2 linked regions of the Rattus norvegicus genome follow. The protein of the gene in region 2 purifies or fractionates together with the protein of the main gene of each other region. This does not show direct contact. Links are inferred from orthologs where the notes say so. Each region holds a gene or a part of one and is shown on either strand. Other genes may lie near its edges.

What was found. Proteins that work in one complex are often made in the same cells at the same time.
Region 1: the proteins of Supt7l (region 2) and Sgf29 purify together in Homo sapiens (affinity purification with mass spectrometry; 4 studies listed by BioGRID and IntAct, counting the BioPlex papers as one, with this or other methods). This does not show direct contact. The link is inferred for Rattus norvegicus from reciprocal best matches to the Homo sapiens genes SUPT7L and SGF29.

The regions. Positions count from the first base shown.
Region 1 is NC_086019.1:190,665,990-190,673,449, forward strand, and holds the start of Sgf29 (SAGA-associated factor 29), read left to right. Parts: upstream 1-3,038; 5' UTR 3,039-3,203; intron 3,204-7,460. UniProt on the Homo sapiens protein: Chromatin reader component of some histone acetyltransferase (HAT) SAGA-type complexes like the TFTC-HAT, ATAC or STAGA complexes.
Region 2 is NC_086024.1:30,650,346-30,657,955, forward strand, and holds the start of Supt7l (STAGA complex 65 subunit gamma), read left to right. Parts: upstream 1-3,582; 5' UTR 3,583-3,657; intron 3,658-6,996; 5' UTR 6,997-7,188; coding exon 7,189-7,601; intron 7,602-7,610. Other genes in the region: Slc4a1ap (kanadaptin), read right to left, coding at 1,727-1,922, 2,586-3,248.

The sequences.
Region 1 (7,460 bases), on a different chromosome or scaffold from region 2:
TAAAACTCACCATGTAGACCAGGCAAGCCTTGATGCTCTGCCTCTGCCCCTGGAGTACTAGGACTGTAACAGGCCCCGACCTTAGCATAACTGACTCCATGATGGAAGTGTCATTCATCTGCTGTAAAACTCAGCAGATAGAAAACATCACCTAGCAAAAATGGAAACAAAAGTCAAATCCATCAAAGTTCATAGTTGTGGGAAGTCTCTTAAGATACTTTGTCAATGTACCTTTCTCTCTGGTTTCTGTAATTCTGCTTCTTGCTGTTGTTGTTAACTGAAGTATGTCAATCCAGACTGTGCTTTTTGTGCTTAAAAGCTCACCCAGAGAAAGGCTAGGGGCTACCCTGGAATACCAAGCAGCCAGGGTAATTGCTGGCCAGCTAATAAAGACTTTCTGTGGCTTATACCCATTTCTAAGTGGTCTTCTCTGATGAATATCCCCAACAGGATTACAGGGTTATAGAAGTGCACCACCAGTGCACCACCATGCCTAGTATTCTAGTTTGATTTTTTTTGAGACAGTGTTTCTCTGTGTGGCCTTAGCTATCCTAGAATTTCTTCTGTAGACTGAACTGGCCTTGAAGTCACAGAGATGTGCCTACCTTTGCCTCCCAGGTGCTGGGACTAAAGGCATGCACTGCCACTGCCTGCCTGTAAGTTTGATTTTTGTTGCTATAAAACATTTTAACTGAAAGCAACTTAGAGAAGAAAAGGTTCATTTGGCCTTTTTTTTTTTTTTTTTTTTTTTTTTTATTAACTTGAGTATTTCTTATATACATTTCGAGTGTTATTCCCTTTCCCGGTTTCCGGGCAAACATCCCCCTCATTTGGCCTTTTGAAGCAACAGCCCATCACTGGAGCAAAGTGGAGCAGGAATTCAGTCAGGATATTTATGTAAACAGGGAGGAGTGCTACTTGCTAGTTTGTTTGCTCACTGGCCCAAGTTTAGCTGCTGTGCTCTCTCTCTCTCTCTCTCTCTCTCTCTCTCTCTCTCTCTCTCCCTCTCTCTTCCTTCCTTCCTTTTCCTGTGTGTGTGTGTGTGTGTGTGTGTGTGTGTGTGTGTGTGTGTGTGTGTGTTTCAAGACATGGTTTCTCTGTGTAATAGCCTTGGCTGTCCTGGACTTGCTTTGTAGACCAGGCTGACCTCAAACTCACAGAAATCTACCTCTTCTTCCTGAGTGCTGGGATCAACGGCATATGCCACCATGCCTGACTTCTTTCTTTCCAGACTAGTCTCACTGGCTAGACTGGAACTCTCTATATAGAACAGGCTAGCCTCAAACTCATAGACATCTACCTGTCTGTCTTTCAAATGCTGTTAATTAGCTTTCCTATGTAGTTCAAGATCACCTTTCAAGAGAATGGTGCTACTGGTAGTGGGCTAGGATTAACATGGTAACATGGTAGTGCACTCCTATAATCCTACAATCCGTTAGACAATTCTCCACAAGCCAGGTCTGTCTGGGGAAATTCCTCAGTGAAGACGGCATTGTCCAGTGGCTCTAGCCAACTTGATTGTTAAAATTAACCAGGGCACCTGACTAGCCCTAATTCAATGAAAGAAAATTATTTTTTCAAACTTTAAAAATGTTGTGTCTGTGTGTGGGTATGTGCCCGTGAGTGCAGGTGCCAAAGGCAGGCAGAAGCATCAGTACCCTTAGGGTTAGAATTACAGACTGTTATGAGCCACCAGTGTGGGCACTGGAAACTGTACTTGGGCTCTTTGTAAAAGTAGTATATGTTTTTAATTGCTCAGCATTTCCCAAGCCATATATATATATATTTAAAATTTTCCTTGTTAGTCTGGGTGCTAAAATAGTTTGTGTTAAAATTTAAGGGGCTGGGGATTTAGCTCAGCGGTAGAGCGCTTACCTAGGAAGCGCAAGGCTCTGGGTTCGGTCCCCAGCTCCGAAAAAAAGAACCAAAAAAAAAAAAATTTAAGGTTTGCTAATAGAAAAATATCTGATAGCTTGTTGTGTGCCAGACACAGTGCTATATACTGGGAATGTCTAAAGATCTTGACCTTATAGCATTTGTAATTCTATCAGAGAATAACAATATGTGATTATAGGCTTTAAAAGACTTTCAAAACTAATTTTTGTTCTATGTATAGGTGTATATGTATCCATGCAGTCCCCTCTGAGGCCAGAAGAGGGCATCAGATGCCTTGGAGCTAGAGTTAGAGGCAGTCTGAGCCAGCTGATGTGAGTACTGGCATTCTAATTCTGGTGATCTTTCATTTATTTATTTTAAGGTATGAGTACACTGTCACTCTCTTCAAAGACACCAGAAGAGGGCATCAGATCCCATTACAGATGGTTGTGACACACCATGTGGTTGCTGGGAATTGAACTCAGGACCTCTGGAAGAGCAGTCAATGTTCTTAACCACTGAGCCATCTCTCCAGCCCGCAGCAAGTATTCTTAACCACCAAACCATATTGACTTTTTAGGTGTTATGTATGATACATTAGGATAGATAGTTGGAGTGGAAGTAGTCCCTAGGGATTGAGACCAGAACCATGCTAAGCAAGTGTCCTACCACTGCATTAACTGCCCAATCCACAAAGTAGGCATCCAAAGAATACCTTTATAGCTAAATGTTTGCATGTCCATATTTTTTATTTGCTGGGAAGATTCTGTAAATTATGAGTTCTAAACCTAAGACTGCTTATTTGGAATTTAAAAGTATTTTTAGATAAATTTTAAATTCACAGCAAACTTTAGCTTAAAGTACAGAATTCTCATATGCTTCCTGGGGGCCCTCCTTCCCTATCCCCAATAATCTGAAGTGGTTTTGTTGTTTTCTTCTGGTGCTAAGGATCCGATCCCATCACTTCCCACATGTTAGGCGAGGCTTCACACATGCTTTTCTGGTCCTTTGATTTATATGAAAGTTTTCGAGGGACATAAAAAACAAACAAGAACTCTGACCTAATAAATTGAGTACATCAAGGCACAAGTATCGAAGAACTACGTTTCCCAGGGTGCAATGCAGCACGTCACAGAGAAGTACCCGGCATGCGCAGAGGAGTCCTCCGCGCTCGACCGCGCTCATAAGAGAAACAGCGTGTGTGGTTCTTGACGTGCCGCGAACCTTCGAACGTAAGTGCGGGACTATCGTGTGAGGAAACGTTCCAGTGATTCGCTCTTCCCGCCATCGCAGTTACCAGCGCGACGTGCTGTTTTTCCCTGGGCTCGGTAGGTGGGACGGGGCCATGGCAAGGTACCTCCACGCAGCGCGGGAACGAAAGGCCAGCGTTCCTGCCCGGCGCCCGGCTCTCTGAGGCGGCTTCTGCGGAAACGCGCACGCGCCCTGGACGGGGAAGGGGGCGGGCTGTGGGAGCCGGCGCCCTGGGGTTTGCGCGTGCGCCCTACATCTCTGGAGAGGTGGGAAGCCGCTGGAGCTGACTAGTCTAGAGGCCGGCACCTGGTGAGGTCCTTGGTCCCAGACATCAGCACAGTTTACTACTTTCTTATTGAGAGGGACACTGTAGCCCAGCCTGGCCGTGAGATCGCAGTCCTCCCTCAATCCCAAGTGCTGAGATTACAGACTCCACAGCCCTAAAGGTGTCCATTTTCACAACAGTAACTTCATCCACTCTGTAGCTCACTCATCTGTCGGCTGACACATGTATCCTAGGACGTCTGCGTCTACTCATTAGCACATTCACCTGCCTCTCTAGGGAGGCCTTGTCTCATGCTGTCTCACAGAAACAGCTCTGTCAAAGCCGCCTTGAGTTCTGGATTCCCAAGTTCAGTGATAATGGCTTGGTAGCATCCTCTTTCATTGCCTCGGTCCTCTCTTAACCTAAAGAACTCTTGCTTCCATTTCTTCATCTTTAATGCTCGTACCTTCAGAATACATAAACCCTAATCTTGCCTTTTTTCTGTTCACTCCCTGGGCATTGTCTATTTCACACTTTAAATAAATAAAATTTATTTTGGTGCACTCAACTTTCTTTTTTTTTTTTTTTTTTTTTTTTACATATTTTTAATAATTTTATATAGGTTCACTGGTGCTGTCTTCAGACACACCAGAAGAGGGCATCAGATCCCATTGCAGATGGTTGTGAGCCACTCTGTGGTTGCTGGGAATTGAACTCAGGACCTCTGGAAGAGCAGTCAGTGCTCTTAACCACTGAGCCATCTCTCCAGCCCTTGTTTTTTTTTTTTTTTTTTTTTTTAGAGACAAAGTTTCTCTGTCTAGCCCTGGTTGTCCTGGAACTCACTCTGTAGACCAAGCTGGCCTTGAAGTCAGAGATCCAGCTGCCTCCGCCTCCCAAGTACTGGTATTAGTGTGCAACCACTGCCAGCTTCCCCGGGTGATTTAGATGTCAAGTTAAAACTAGCCGTCATGTGCTTCAGTGCTTTTTCATCCCGAGAGTAAATACATGGGATGTGTGCATTGCATGCTGAAGGGGGTGCACTGGGAGCAATGCACTGGGAGGTGTTTATCCTAAGACAGGACACGGTGCTCTTACACAGCTTAGATTATCAGCCTACTACACACCAAGTCCACATGGCATAGCCTGCCACTCCATATGTAGCATGTTACTACAGCAAATACTATAAAGGTGGTTTCCACAAAATGAAAAGTATTTGAGTATCTATACAGAAACAGTTCAGTAAAATACTAGGTGAGGGCCAGTGAAGAGGCTCAGAGGGTAAAGGAAGTTGTCACTAAGCATGACAACCTAAGCATGACCCATGTGGTAAGAAGAAAACCAGTAAACACTGTGGCATATGTACACCCATACTCAATAAATAAATGTTTAATAAGAAATAATGGGGTGATGAAAGTGTTTTGGGTTTATAATCTCATACATCTTTTTGAGCATTATAATCTCATGGGACTACATCATGTTCAATCTTTTTTTTTTTTCTGATGTATTCTTTGGCATGTGGCTCTATTTGTTTAATATGTGTCCATTCTGCATTGTCCTTTCACTACTGCATATCCCTTATGTCTTAGGTAATTAGTAAATGCTGCTGAATGGAATTATGAAAGGGCATAATTTCTCTTTTCTGCATGGGGGAAGTAGGTAGTCTCTCACGGAAGATGTTAGTACTTAACATGGAGACAGAGGAGACCTTGAGTAGCTCAGCTTCAAACCCGTTTCAGTGTTCTAAGTTGAAAGACTGCTTGAAGGGTGTTCAGGACTCAGCTCCATTCAGCAACCTGATTTGACAGCAGTATGTGCCAAGGCCCGGCAGAACAGAAAGATATCTAGAGTAGCAGCCTGTATGCTCCATGCTTGTCATCTGGTAGGAGAGCTGTCAGTGAAGCAGTTCATCATTTACATGAGTGACAGGTGCAAGAACAGAAGTTTACTGTGAAGACTGAGGCTGGAGAAATGTGAGTTCAGTGTCAGCCTGAACTGCACAGTGAGACCCTGCCCCTAAAGCAATAAAAGAAGCTTGGTATGGTGGCACGCACCTTTTAATCCCAGCACGGGGGAAGCAGAGGCAGATGAATCTCTGGGAGTTCCAGGTGTAAATTCCAGGGCAGTTTGAGTTGCATACTAAGACTGTGTCTCAAAACAACAATAAAAACATAACAAAACAAGAATAAAGTTTAAATGCAGTGCTTAGGCACTTTCCTGAAGTTGTGATTGGCCATAGACGAGGGCAAATGGAGGAGCCTGTGGCTGTTTGGGAGCTGTGTTGTCCTCCCCCAGCTTCATATGTAAATATCATGTTCTTGGGTTGCAATGTTGATAAGCTCAACTTGTTGAATTTTTTTTTTAATTTTTAAATTTTTATTTTTTGAGACAGGTTTCTCTCTATGTATAGCCCTGCCTGTCCTGGAACTTGTTCTGTAAACTAGGCTGTAGACTGTGATTTAAATCTTGAAAGTTGAATAAGTTAAAGTGACCTAGAAGGGAAGAAGAGAAGGATCAGGGGCACTTGAGGCAGACAGAACAGGGAAGAGTGTGTGCTTGTTTGGGGTGAAGAAGGTGTAGACTCTGGTTATCCTGGGTAGTGTGTATGATTAGTCAGAGAGATCAGGTGAATCCTTGGTTTTACTCCCAACTTTCTGAAGCTAGAAGTAGGGACATAGATACCCCTATCGCTACAGATTTCTAAATGTGTGTGGAGATTCTTTTTTTTTTTTTGTTCTTTTTTTCGGAGCTGGGGACCGAACCCAGGGCCTTGCACTTCCTAGGCAAGCGCTCTACCACTGAGCTAAATCCCCAACCCCGTGTGTGGAGATTCTTACAAAGTTTTTTTTTTTGTTTGTTTGTTTTTTTTTAAGATTTATTTATTTATTTTATGTATGTGAGTACACTGTAGCTGTCTTCACACACACCAGAAGAGGGCATCAGATCTCATTACAGATGGTTGTGAGCTACCATATGGTTGCTGGGAATTGAACTCAGGACCTCTGGAAGAGCAGTCAGTGCTCTTAACCACTGAGCCATCTCTCCAGCCCACAAGTTGGATTGGGTTGAACAATACTGTTGGTATCTCTCAAATTGTAGTTCCAGCCTATCAGGTGGAAGGTAGTTGGGTGAACATTGACCATTGTGAGTTGGATATAGATGCCCCTAAGGGTTGCTTGAGTATTCAGGCTTAGGCTGTAGTCACACAGAACTGAGTTAGAACCCCATCTTGGCCACTTACTGCTTGTGAACCTTGATAATCTGTTTTTCCAGACTCAGTTTCCAGCAAGTGCTAAATGATCAGTTCTTTTCAGGGTTATTAGGAAAATGACCTTCATACAAGCAGTTGATACATGGTAGTGCTTAGAAAAGAATGGCTGTTTTATATACATATATATTATATATCTTATGTATGTACTTTTCTGTATATACATCTGTATATCAGAAGACAGCATTAGGCAGTTGTGAGCTGCCATGTGGGTGCTGGGAAGTAAACTCAGAACTTTTACAACAGTAGTGAGTGCCTTAACCACTGACTCATCTTTCCAGCTCCCCACTCCCACCCCACCCATTAGGTTTTCTAGAGAACCAGAACCAGTAGGATCAAGATACATGAAAGAGTGTGTTAGCATGGGTCAGGTTACAGGATTATGGAGCTGAGAAGTCCTGTGGTCTGCCATCTACTAGCTGGAGGCCTAGAAAAGCCAAAGTCAGTCCAATTTAGACCTGTAAGTCTGACACCTGAAATTTGCCTGATAACTACTTCTGGAAATATCCTCACATGCACTCCTAAAAATGATATTTTTCTAACTGTAGTACAGTAGTCTTAACACGTAAAATTAGCCACTAGGTAGGTAGGTGTGTGTGTGTGTGTGTGTGTGTGTGTGTGTGTGTGTGTGTGTATACTTTTTTTTTTTTTTTTTTTTTTTTGGTTCTAGGACTCAAACCACAGGTTGGGTAAGCTACTATTGCTACAGTGACTCAGCTTCTGTGTAACCATAGTGTCAGTAGCAGTTTGCAGGAGACAAAATGTTTCTTCTATGATTTCCTTTCCTATGGGAAATGCTGAATT
Region 2 (7,610 bases):
CTGTCCTGGAACTTGCTCTATAGACCAGGCTGGCCTCGAACTCACAAAGATCTGCCTGCCTCTGCCTCTCCAGCGCTGAGACTAAAGTCATGTACTGCCACCACCACCATGGCTGTAGCTTGAAGCTCTTATTTAAAAATATATAAAGTGGGACATCAGGTAAAGGTTCCTGCTGCCAAGCTTGACAACCTGCTTTTGACCCCTCGGACTCACAAAGTAAAAGGAGAAAAATGACTCCTGCAGTTGCCTTCTGACCTCTACGTACACGCCATGCCCCCTAAAACAAACACCCAAAAGTTAATTTATAGTTTCCAAGAGATCTAAATTAGTGTTGTCCAACAGAAATATGTGTTATGAGTATGATTCTGAGTTTCCTATTAGCTACTTTAAAAAGGTCATCTTACCATAATAGTCATTACAAAACTATGGCAGTATTTTTTTCATTGTCTTTGAAATCCTGGGTGTAGTTTGCACTTAGATTTATTTATTTATTTTATGTATATGAGTACACTATATCCATCTTCAGACACACCAGAAGAGGGCATCAGATCTCATTACAGATGTTTGTGAGCCACCATGTGGTTGCTGGGATTTGAACTTAGGACCTCTGTTAGAGCAGTCGGTGCTCTTAACCACTGAGCCATCTCTCCAGCCCCTGTAGTTTGCACTTAGAAGCATGCCTTTGGATAAGCCACACTAGATATGCAGATAACAGCTACCATATTGAGCAGCATATGTCTAACTGAGTTCCCGGTGTCTGATTCATTTTCTCACACTAGCTCTAGAGTGCTAATAGTTTCCGGCTTATTCTTGACACTTAGCAGAAGTATTTTTGCATTTGTTCTATCTTAACATCTATAGACCTCACACATACAAGTGCCACAGTGCACATGGAGGTCAAGGAGGCCTGTGGGAATCCGTTGTCTTCTTCCACCATGTGCCTCCCGGGGGTCAAACTCAGGTCATCACGATCAGCAGCACAGACTTTTACCTGTTGAGCAATCTCATCAGGCCACAACTTCTTTCTTTCACTCATTCTGTTTGTTTTTTGAGTCAGGGTCTCTAAAGTAGTTCAAGTCCTGAAATTCAATATGTAGATCATGCTGGCTTGAAACTAACAGAGATTGTGCTGAGGTTAAAGTCCTGCATCGTGATGCCTTATTAGCCCCAACTATCTTTTAAAGCTATATTTTATGCATATGAGTACTCTATCTCTATGTACACCTATGCCAGAAGAGGGCATCAGATCACATTATAGTTCTGGGATTTGAACTCAGGACCTCTGGAAGAACAGTCAGTGCTCTTAACTACTGAGCCATCTCTCCAGCCCCTTCCCCCAACTATCCTTTCATAGACCTGAATACCTATCATCCAAAATACGGGGCTATACAATAACCTCTTGGATTTTTTTGTACTTTGTGAAAATAGCCTAAGAGGTGAAATATCAAATTCTGATTTCTCAGCCAAAGGAATGATATCAATTTTCCATGTACTCAGAACTCTGTGTGTGTGTGTGTGTGTGTGTGTGTGTAAATGATGAAAGCAATATGCAGATTACATGGTGAGAAAGAGTGTGTGTATAATACCCATAATTCAAAGTTTTATACCTTTGAAGTTAGTGACCTGGGCTTTCGAACTATGTTTACCCCTTCTTGAGCTGTGTGAGCAAAAGCATTTGAGGATGCCACCAGGAATGAGCTCAGAACTTCCAATACCAGTTTCTTACCCATTCCCCACGTGCAACCCATCTCCTCATCTTGACCACTTGTATTTCTCTTCCCTGCAGTGGTATCTGCTTCATCTTCTTCATCTGAATCTTCACCTAACATCTTCTTCTCCAATAACGCCTGCTGCTGTTTGCGAAGTTCCTTCAACTGTGTTACTGTTAATTCAGATTCTGCCTCTCGGTCTTCCTCTGGTCCCTAATGAATCAAGGAAAAAGTATATACGTATGTGGATTAAGAAGTGGAGAAATTGGGGCTGGAGAGATGGCTCAGAGGTTAAGAGCACTGGCTTTTCTTGCAGAGGTCCTGAGTTCAATTCCCAGCAACCCCATGGTGGCTCACAACCATCTGTAATGGGATCTAATGCCCTCTTCTGGTGTGCATGAAAACACTCATATACATAAAATAAGTAAACAAATGTTAAAAAAAAAAAAAAAGGAGGGTTGGGGATTTAGCTCAGTGGTAGAGCGTTTGCCTAGCAAGCGCAAGGCCCTGGGTTTGGTCCTCAGCTCCGGAAAAAAAAAAAGTGGAGAAATTACTTTCTGAGACACTGCAGTTATGCAGATCTGTGGCTCCGGACTGGGCCCCTATGCTTTTGTCAATGGTTACTAGAAGAATCTTTTTTTCTCAACTAAACCTTAAAGAAACTCAGAATCCCAGCACAGTGAAGTCCCAAGATTTTTTTTTCAATGTGGAAAGGTTTAATGAGAGAAGAGAAGAAGAAGAGAGGAAAGGCCGGCCATGGGCACGTGGGGGGAAAGGGGAAGATGGGGAGAGAAGGGACAGGGACAAAGAGGGCACGAGAAGAAGAGCAAGAGAGAGCAAGAGCCCACGATTTTTATTTTAGATTTTTCTACCTACCTGAAGGATAAAGAGCCGAGTGCTGCCTCCAAAGCGAATAACGTGCCCGACATGGACTCTACAGTAAGTGCGGGGTGGGATGCGAGTTTTGTTGAGGAAAGTGCCGTGGGTACTTCCCAGATCATAGAGATAAAAGCCCTGCCCCTGATCCTCAGAGTCTCCGCTGGGATCCGACCCCCGGTGCTGTAGTACAGCATGGTACCGAGACACGGAAGGATGCTCCAGGCATATGTCACAGCTAGCAAGCCTCCCGAAAAGGCAGTAGCTCGTGTCTTTCAAGGTGCGTGTACCAAGGATGGTGCCACCCTTCAGGGTTTCGAGACTGTAAGGGGCCGTGGCTGGGCTGCCCCACGATGGCTCTTGGTACGGGGGAGCCCGGGTCGGACCGCCAGAAGCAGGAGCTACCCTCGGAGAGCGGAGCTGTTCCACCGGTGGACCCCCAGTCTCCTCGCTGTCCGGCTGCGGTGGCGAGACCTCGGGCTCCCCACATCCAGAGTCTAGCTGCGCCGTGCTACATTCCTTCTTCACATCTTCAGGAACTGATGGACTGGAGGCCGGAGCCTTACTCCGCACTGCGGGAGGCACCGGCAAAACAGGCTTCTTAAACTCGCTACTAACATCCTGAGGTGCTGGCGCTTCTAACTGAGAGGTAGCATCAGCCATCCTCAGACGGGTGCAATCTCAAAATGTGTCCCTCGGAAACCCCTACCCCTCGCCCCCCATGTTCCTGCTCACGTCTCCTCCTCCTTCTCAGGTCCCTGACGTTTCTCTGGATTGCAACGTTGGAGTTCCCCTTTCAAAACTCACAGAACTTTAAAGTTGTGAATAGCACTAGGGAGTGACAATACCAGAAAGGGGGGAGGAGCTCTAGGAGTGCTGTGCAGAACACGGACATTTTTAGGCGTTGCAACCGGATAGTAATAACTTCCTGTGGCAGAGGGCGCTTGGGAAGAAGTGCTTCCGGTGGCCTTGGCCCATTAATCAATAAACAAGGCTCCTAGGCTTGACCTAGTCGTCGACTCGGACCTGTCAGAGTCAAGGCAGCCGCGTAGACCACTCCTGAGACAGGGCGGTGAGTGTTTGAGCTTTATTTTCTGGTTCAGGGTCAGAACGTCCCATTTTTCTGCTGCCCTGTAAATCAGACTTCCCAGGATCCTGTGGTTGGCGCCTAAGCCTAAGCCTGCAGATACCGAGCAAGGTATCTTGCTCCTACTCTGCAGCTCCCGAATTTAGGCTTGATAACTCCTTTACTCCTTTTGTGAAGTTGGGAAAGAAGCAATTTCTTGTTTGTTCATTCTTTTATTATTCGTAACAAACTGTTGAAGCAGCATGTTTAGTGGCTTTACGAACCTGTGCATCGAAACCTCTTTTCTCTTTAACTCTTTGTATTTACGACGTTGGCACGACACTGCACCACAGCTTCCACATCTGAAAAATTGCAAATAGTAGTGTTATTTTTAATAAGATTGTTGGAAAATTGAACTAAGCAGTAGTTTATATTATAACTCTTTGACAGAGGCCCGGATACTATACGAAGATGGTAGCTGTAACAAGTGGGAGAATGCAGATGAATAAGTAAACTAAAGTTAAGGTCCAGGGATAAAAGCAAATGAATGTGAGAATACAAAGAAAGGGGGTGTGTTGGGGAAATGTTGGGGGATGGCCATTTCAGTTGTCTTAAAGAACAAATTCAAGTCTGACAAAGATGTAGAAGGCGGCAGAGGATTCTGGCAGAGATCCCAACTCAAAGGTTCAATTATAAAAATGTCTGATGTTCTCAAGAAGCTGAGTAATGGGGCTGGAGAGATGGTTCTGTGGTTAACAGTGCTTGCTGCTCTTCCAGTGGACCTGGGTTCCATTTCTAGTGCCCACTTCAGGACAGTTCACAACCACCTCTAATTCCAGCTCCAGCGGGATCTGATGCCCTCTTCAGATCTCCTTGGCACCTACATACACATGGAGCATACCTACATACCCAACCCCCAACAGACAACAATAAAAATAAAATCTCTGTGAATTCATGGCCAGCCTGGTCTACAGAGCAAGTTCCAGGACAGCCGAGGCTACACAGAGAAACCCTGTCTTGAAATTAATTGATTGATTGATTGATTGATTGATTAAAAATAAAATACATTCTTAGCAAAGAAAATAAACTGAGGGGCCAGTTAGATGGCTCAGGAGGTAAAGGCACCTGCTACCAAGTCTGACAACCCGAGTTCAATCCGTGGAACCCACATGGTGAAAGGAGAGAACTGACTCTCACAAGGTTTCTTCTGCTTTTCACATGCACAGACACCGAAAATAAGTAAATGGGAGAGAGAGAGAGAGAGGGAGAGAGAGAGAGAGAGAGAGAGAGAGAGAGAGAGAGAGAGAGAAGAAACTGAGTAGTATATTGTTAGAACTGAGGTCGTTTCATCCAGGAAGCCCCTCATTTACCTGCAGAGCACTGAGCTCATGCCTTTAAAATAGCAGTGTCTGCTTGTTGTTATACTGCAATGGTTTGCTTCTGTTACTCTTCTCTCAGGACAAAGATCTTACACCTTCACACTTCACACTTCATCTGGAGAAGTAAATTAAAGACAGGTAATAGGTTTCATTGAATGGTAAGCCACAGAATTTGACTTTTTGCAAGCAAAAGAAAACAAAAAAGAAAAAAAGCTTGAAAGTGTAGCTCAGTAATAAATCACTTTCATAGCATGTGTTCAGTCTTCAGTACTGAGAAGGGGGCGGGGAGGCAGGGAGAGAGAGAAAAGGAAAAAGTCTAGCAACAGAGCCAAGTGTAGATCAGATTCTGAGAAAGACTGGAGCAGCAGTTCTCAACCTTTCTAAAACTGTGACCCTTTAACTATATAAGTACAATGTAGCTGTCTTCAGACACACCAGAAGAGGGCATCAGATCTCATTGCAGATGGTTGTGAGCCACCATGTGGTTGCTGGGATTTGAACTCAGGACCTCTAGAAGAACAGCAGTCAGTGCTCTTAGCCACTGAGCATCTCTCCAGCCCATAAAATTATTTTCATTGCTACTTTATAACTTTAATTTTGCTACAGTTCTGAATCCTAATGTAAATATCTGATATACAGGATATCTGATATTCCTTATGAAAGTGGTGCTCCCCAAAGGGGTTGAGAACCACTGGACTAGAGGAAGAAATACTTGTTAGAAGGCAGCAGAAGTCTCCCAGACTTCTGGGAGACAGCTCAGTCTATGAAATGCTTGCCATTGCAAGCGTGAGGATCTGAGTTCAATCCCCAAAACCCATATTAAAAAACCCAGGCATAGGTGCATGTGCTTATAAACTTAGCTTGTAAGGAGAGGAGCAGAAACGGGCAGATCCCCGGAATTTACTGTGAAGGGGGCGGTTCTGATGCTAAGGTCTTGTTCTCCAATTGGTTCTTGATTTGTCAGTACAGGAAGCTGGGGGCCAATTGCTGGGCGGAAGGAAGGTACAGGTGGAACTTCCGGGTCCCAGGAGGAAAAGGGAGAGGCAAGGAAGGGGAAAGGTTTTACTGCCATACTTTGGAGGAGGAAGAAGGGAGCAACTGTGTGAGGTCTCGGGAGAGCTGGGGCCTGTGGCCACTGCTCCAGGCGGGTGGTCATGGATGTTTGGCAGGGGCTAGGTGGGACTAGCCACTGAAGTTCGGGGCAGGTGTAGAGACAGAGATAAACATTTTAATAAGGGTATGCTTTTCCAGGTGGGAGACGGCAACTCCCAGCAACTATGCTGAGAAGGCAAGTTATAAAGAACAAACTGGGTGTGTTTTATTGACAGACTCAAGGGAAGATGGGAAGGGGCTGATCCCTAGAGATCCTGTCTGAAAAGGAAGACAGACTGTTGCCTGAGGCTGAGGCCTCCACGCCCTAAAGAATGTGTATTTGCTCATGTATATGTCCGAACTTGGGAACATAAGGCTGGATTAAAGGTTCATGAATGGCACAGCACAGATTGGAAAGCACCTATTAGTAATTTTTTGTTTTGTTTTTTGAGATCTGGTTTCTCTGTGTAGACCTGACTGTCCTGGAACTCACTCTGTAGATGAGGCTGGCCTTGAACTCAGAGATCCTCCTGCCTCTGCCTCCTGAGTTCTGGGAGAAAGGAGTGCACTACCACGTCTGGCCACCTGTTAGTATTTGTAATGCTACTCTGTTTCCTGTTCTAGCACAATTGTGTAGAAATGCTCTGAGTACTCCAGACCTCCCATTTAAGCTTGCTGCCTGTAAAGTATTTAGAATGAGGCATGCTGGGTATCCTGGAATGAATTTGTGCCGTGAAATAGGCAGTGTATATGTTAAGAGTCCCACACACCAGTCACTACTAATTAATGACTTTGATTGTCCTTTTGTAATTCAAAGAGGAATTGTCGCTGTGTGATTGGTATCTAGCAGTTATTTTTCTCTTCATTTCTTCAGGGAGAACATCGTTTGTCCTAGAGTTTTGCTAGCATCTTTTTCAAAGTGATCTTAACTTGCTCTTTATGTCAGAACTCCCTGGACTTCTGACCTTTCACTACAGAAACTTGTGATCTACAGTTGCCAGAGACGTAAACACACTTTAGGGTATCATCTACATTAAACCCAGAGCTCTTCTCTGCTTGCTCTAAAATGCTGAGGTACTGGGGAGAGATCCCAATACCATCAGGACAGACCAACAGAAGTTCCTTTGATCTGCTGCCTCGGGAGTTCCGTCTGGTGGAAGTCCATGACCCACCCCTGCACCAGCCCTCAGCCAACAAGCCGAAGCCCCCCACGATGCTGGACATCCCCTCAGAGCCCTGCAGCCTCACCATCCATACCATCCAGCTGATCCAGCACAACCGACGTCTGCGCAGCCTTATTGCCACAGCTCAGACCCAGAGTCAGCAGCAGAGCGAGGGTGTAAAGGCTGAAGAGAGTGAACCGCTTCCCTCCTGCCCGGGCTCACCTCCTCTCCCTGATGACCTCCAGCCTTTAGATTGTAAAAATCCCAATGCGCCATTTCAGATCCGGCACAGTGACCCAGAGAGTGACTTTTACCGGTAAGACAA